Linked DNA regions of Kluyveromyces lactis. The protein of the gene in region 2 interacts with the protein of the main gene of each other region in a pairwise test. Links are inferred from orthologs where the notes say so. Each region holds a gene or a part of one and is shown on either strand. Other genes may lie near its edges.

The links.
Region 1: the proteins of RRD1 (region 2) and SIT4 interact in binary tests that used the Saccharomyces cerevisiae proteins (3 or more experiments, as listed by UniProt). The link is inferred for Kluyveromyces lactis from reciprocal best matches to the Saccharomyces cerevisiae genes RRD1 and SIT4.

Annotation. Positions count from the first base shown.
Region 1 is NC_006040.1:313,717-316,517, forward strand, and holds SIT4 (type 2A-related serine/threonine-protein phosphatase SIT4), read right to left. Parts: upstream 1,457-2,801; coding exon 527-1,456; downstream 1-526. Other genes in the region: THP1 (Thp1p), read right to left, coding at 2,130-2,801. UniProt on the Saccharomyces cerevisiae protein: Involved in the dephosphorylation of the large subunit of RNA polymerase II. Is required in late G1 for normal G1 cyclin expression, bud initiation and expression of certain genes that are periodically expressed during late G1.
Region 2 is NC_006037.1:37,540-40,496, forward strand, and holds RRD1 (peptidylprolyl isomerase RRD1), read left to right. Parts: upstream 1-1,226; coding exon 1,227-2,288; downstream 2,289-2,957. Other genes in the region: IMP21 (Imp21p), read right to left, coding at 1-662; phosphoenolpyruvate carboxykinase PCK1, read right to left, coding at 2,791-2,957. UniProt on the Saccharomyces cerevisiae protein: PPIases accelerate the folding of proteins. It catalyzes the cis-trans isomerization of proline imidic peptide bonds in oligopeptides.

The DNA of each region.
Region 1 (2,801 bases), on a different chromosome or scaffold from region 2:
AGTGCAATCATATGGCTACATTTTTTGTATAAAATGCTCTTGAAATTTTAAATATTTCAATGCAGCTTTGGAGCTGAAGAGATACTGGTAAGAAAAAAAAAAACCTATTCTACACACGATATTCTATATATGATTCCATATCAAATTGAATATATTCGATGATCTAGTTTGGATTAGATCAGGACTCTGTGAAGCCTCGTGAAAGACATAATGGCAGTTTAAACGTTATCATTAATACATATATCTATATATATTACCGGGTTTTAGACTATTTAAGTTTCAGGGGGGTTGGTTTCTCAGTAATGATTTCAACCCATTAAAAATTACGTTGTTTATAGTCCACTTTCCAATTAAATCCTAATTCCTGATGGATATCTTTGAATTCGTAAAAGTTAGGTAAATGTTTGATTTCTAGTGTACAGTATATTAAGAAGGAATTCTCAAATAGAAGGAGAAAAAGAATGTTTAGTCCGATGTAAGTTCGCATAGAAGATTATACAGACAAAAAGGCCGCTGCAATGTCGCTCTATAAGAAATATCCACCTCTTTGGTTATTATTGTTTGTTTCTTGGATGTAATCGTCAGGTACAGCGGAAAAAATTTTGAATGTTGGATCTAAATCATCTTCGACTTTCATGACACTCGCCACATTACCACATCGATAACAATAATTAGGTGCAGACCATACCGTTACAACATCCTTCTCCGGAAAATGGTATTTGAATCCTTCCATAACTAGCTGGTGAGCTCTTGCGATTAGGCTTAGGCCATTCACATGATTAAATTCTCGTGAGACTTTGCTACCGAACAACCATCCGGCACCACGAGGTGAGACTTGCCATGCTTCCACGTTGTCGGGGTCACTCCATAACAAATCGGAGAAGCCACCTTCATGAGGAACTTCTTGGGCTCTCGATAGAACTCTGATCTGATCAAGCATTCTAATCTCGGGAGACAAACCACCATGCACACATAAAATTTTCCCGTCAATAATAGCTGCCAAAGTTAAGAAATCAAACACTTGACAACAATACTTCCAAACCGTTGTGGAACCATACTTATTTAAACATTCCTCATAAAACCCATAAACTTGTGTAATTTGCCTCGACTCATGATTTCCTCTAACCAAAGTAATTCTGGAAGGATATTTCACTTTCAAACACATAAGAAGTGTGAACGTCTCCAAACTGTAATAACCACGATCTACATAGTCACCAAGAAAAATATAGTTTACTTGATCAGGAAACCCACCAGCAGTTCTGAATAGTTCTAAAAGGTCATGAAATTGTCCGTGAATATCACCACAAACAGTCACCGGCGATTGAACCGGCTGAATATTCGATTCTTCCATTAAGAGTTCCTTCATCATCTCGCATAGCTGTTTCATCTCAGACTCCGTCAAAGCCTGACATTTCTTGATCTTCTCAAGCCACAAATCTGGCCCATTATCTGACATTGTGATATTTTAGCACTCCGGAGACAAAACGCTCTATAGATAGATGAACTTATGCAATGGCAAATTAACCTTTACAAGGGAAGATAAAGTTCAAAGGTCAATAAAAAAAATAATAATTATAATAAAACCCAGTCCTTACCTGTGAAAAAATTGGGATAAATTCCTTCTGAATTTCTTGTAAAGTGATTATGATTAGCGTTCTTGTAAATAAAAACCACAACAAGCTTAAAACCTGTGTTTGGAAGTATTTCTTGCACCTTTTCTTTTCAACAAGAAACACTCACTCACTATAGGAAAATTCAATAGCTCAAACAAAGAACAGCCCTATATCACTACTCTTTGTTGATGGCTAAAAGCTTGTTAACAAAGTAGTTAGCTATAAGGATGTTTCCTTCTCTCTTTGTTTTCTGTTGTAATCATCAGTCCTTTTACAAAAATAATGGAAACTTCAACAAAATTTCAACTTCTCTTCAATTTCTTACTTTTTTTTGCAGAATGTGACCTGGAAGACAAACAGATATATGTGAGAGCATTCTTATATCTATATAGACATGTCTGTAAAAATTGAGTCTTCCAAAAGTGTTTCACGACTGGGTATGATAGTGGGACCCGAATCAGGTTAGGAGGGGCTGTGTCATCTATTTTTACATACTATATGTATATTATCTATCATTTACTTATCGAGCCAGGAATCTTCCTGGTTCAACGAAAATCTAGAGACGATCTTTTCATTGATATTAGGGAAGATTACTGAGATATCGTTAGTCTTCATCGTAACGCACACTTGCAGGCTTGGAAACACATTTCCCTTCCACAATTGTTGAATTGAAAGTGTGACAAGGATATTTTCAAGTGATTCTGCGGTGTAATTGTCTTTATATATCGATGGCATTTCAGGTGGATATAAACCGATGGATTTTGCTAGAATTGGTCTTATCACAGAGTATGGTAGTTTATTTGAATTGCGCGGTATACAGTAGTATAGGAAAATAGATCGCAAAAGGGATCTGAACGTTATAATGGGTAGCTTTTCCAATAGAACAATCAACAATTTAGATGATTTCAGCCACGATTCGTTCTCGTAAAGCCAGAAGTTTACTCTGTTCAAGTTTCCGTTTTTAACGGCAATCACAAGAGCTGTGTATTTCTGTGCTAGGATAGGGTCCCATTGAGATAACTTGTTGAAATCTGGCAACTTGCTGATAATGATACCACATGGAACTAAAAACTTCAACAATCTTCTCCTGTTGTTCTGTTTCGCAATAGAGTCGGGTAATGTGGCTAGGAGTTCGTAACATTGGTTCAACTGATGGAAAGCATTAACCATTCTATGGTTTAATAGGTA
Region 2 (2,957 bases):
TAAACAACGAACGAGTGGCCTTTCTCGCTCGTTGCGGCGGTAATATTGTCTCCTTTGCTCATATGATAGACAGCTCTATGTATTCCGTGTTGAATTTCTTCCAATTTGATATCTCTTTTGTCTGCTTCTGTTTTAATCTCAGCATTCTTCGCTAGCCATGGCTTCATAGAGTCGAGTACTTGGGTAATTGGTGTAACAAAGTTCGGTAAAACTTTACAACCTAAATCATAATCAATGTGTTCATCAATTTCTATTTCATTCTCTACATCACTCACTTGTTCCTCCTCACTGACCTCACCATCGTCTTCTCTATCTTCTATGAATTCCTCTTCATCTTCATCTTCATCCTCGTCACCACCATTTTCTTGTCCTGGAGATACGCTATCTCTAGTGTTTCCTTTTTTGGCCTTCAAATGTAACCTTTCTGAAGGGTCCTTATTCAATATTGTCCACTTCAGGTAGGCTTGGTCCTTTATACTTACTCGACTCGCAGACCTTGATATCGATCTGCTTGATGATATGCCGGTATCTCTTGTCTTACTCCGGGACCTACCTCTTTGCTCTGGTTCCTCTATCTTTATAGTTGGAAACGCTGGAGGCGCAGCCAGATGCTTATCATCAGTTAGTTTCTTATTCAAAATACCTCTTCCAGGTTCTTCCATGTCTAAATATGTTCAATGGCTCACTTGTAGTATACTTTGTCTGCGACCGGAGATTGAAGCTAAGTTGATAGTTATTTCAATGATGTTGGATTAAATATTCGTCCTGTGAATTCAGTAGAATAGTATTAGCTGTGATACAAAAAGTTAAAATTATTTCACAGGTACAAGCTAGTGTCGCGGATAAAGAAAGTAAATGTGTGACTGGTGACTTGTATTAGGAATCTTTTCTCTGGTGTGAAAACATAGCAGTATAATCGTTTTTCAAGGTTATTTTGGCTTTTTATTTTTATCATATGTTTTCATATCACTTCACAATTTCAGTGCCTGTACTGCGAACGCTTAAAAAAAGTTAGAATTCTACAGACTGAAATGCTAAGAAAGGATATGAAATAGCAGTTTCTCTTGTAACTTTTGGGGAGGCGATCTTGAAAACTAATACCTTCCTTGTAGGACGTATCAAATATTGCATTCTAATTATTCTCCCGCACATATTTCAAGCTGCAAATATTAAATCGAGAGTTGTTATGATATAACGGTGATAAATAAGGGATAAGAAACTAAGAGATGGACTTTGATTATGAGAACGCCAAGTTCTCAATGCCAGAGAAAAGAATATTCGATAGTCAGGGTACCCTTGACTTCCAGAATTCAGTCGCAATGGTTAGAATACAATATCACTTGCAGAAGTATATTACGCTTTGTAAGGGCCAGCAGATACCAGATACAATCAAAGAAAGTTTTTTCACTAATATCGTAGTGGAACTACTCAAAAGGCTGTCTGCCTTGATAGACGAGACACCTCCTGAGAGAATGCATAGTAGATATGGAAACCTTTCATACAGAGATTGGCAAACGAAGTTTCAAAACCAATTGGAGAATTGGTTGCATGAGTTATTGCCCGAAAAGTACAACAACAGCATCATAGAACTTTCATATTACATATCTAATGCATTTGGATCGAAGGAAAGAATTGACTATGGAACTGGTCATGAATTGTCCTTTTTAGCTGTGATAATTTGTTTGGATATGCTAAAAATTGAAACAATAAAGGGGCCGGCGCTACTTTATTGTTTCAATTCATATTACGACGTGATTCAGAAACTAATCTTAACCTATAAATTGGAACCTGCTGGGTCTCATGGCGTTTGGGGGCTAGATGATCATTTTCATTTCTCATACATTTTAGGAGCCACTCAATTGTTAGATGTGAATACTTCTTTAATACCAAAGGATATTTCTAATACTAGATTGATGGAACAAAACAGCTCTAGCAATCTATTTTGCAAATCAATACGATTCATTAATGTCGTAAAATCGGGCCCATTTTCCAATCATTCTCCTCTACTCTACAACATATCAAGGAGTGTTCATACATGGCACAAGATGCAACAGGGTTTGATTAAAATGTACAAGGTAGAAGTTTTAAATAAGTTTCCAGTCGTGCAGCACTTTTGGTTCGGAACCGCATTTTTCCCATGGACGAGTTATGGTAACAATCACTCTTTGCCAATATATCAGCCTGCAGAAAATAACGACGATGCTGATTTTTTGACTGCAAACAATGCTACTACGAAAATGCCTCCACCTTTGAGTACAAGCACATCTAGGTTTATACACAGACGTTAACACAGCATATATGGGATGAGATTAAAGATCTATTTAACCTGCTTTTATTCTTCGCTTAAGGATGATATTAATGATTTAATTCCTCCCATAAATAAATAGTATATCCAGATTAAAAGATACTAAAGCGTATGTATGTACTATAACCATATTGATAAAGGCTGTTAGTGATAAATTAAAAAGGACGAAAGTAATAGAAAAACGAATGAGAAAAACCCCAAGATATCTGTAGAATTTTCTTGTTATATATGTAGTCGAGAAAAAGATAGTTTCTAAATGCAAGAATCAAATAATCCGAGCCAATGGTATGTGTATTATTGTTAGTTGGTTTTTTATGAATCTCAGAATTTTATATTAATAATAATGAACCGGCTACGGTTGAGATAGTCTGGTTGAAGGTAACGGAAAAAGTGAAACTATGTTGAAGAGAAAATATTACTCAATAATATTTCACTCTGCCTCTTTTCGTTATTTTGGTATAGCACTTCTGTTGAGGACATTGTGATTATAATTGCGGACCAGCAGCTAAGACTTGTTCGGTAGCCTTATCTTGGTAGGTCTTGAAGTTTTCTACAAACAAATTAGCCAATGACTTGACATTTGAAGTGTACTTAGCTTCACCTTCAGCCCAGTTCTTACTTGGATTTAGTAGAGAAGCTGGAACCTTGTCAC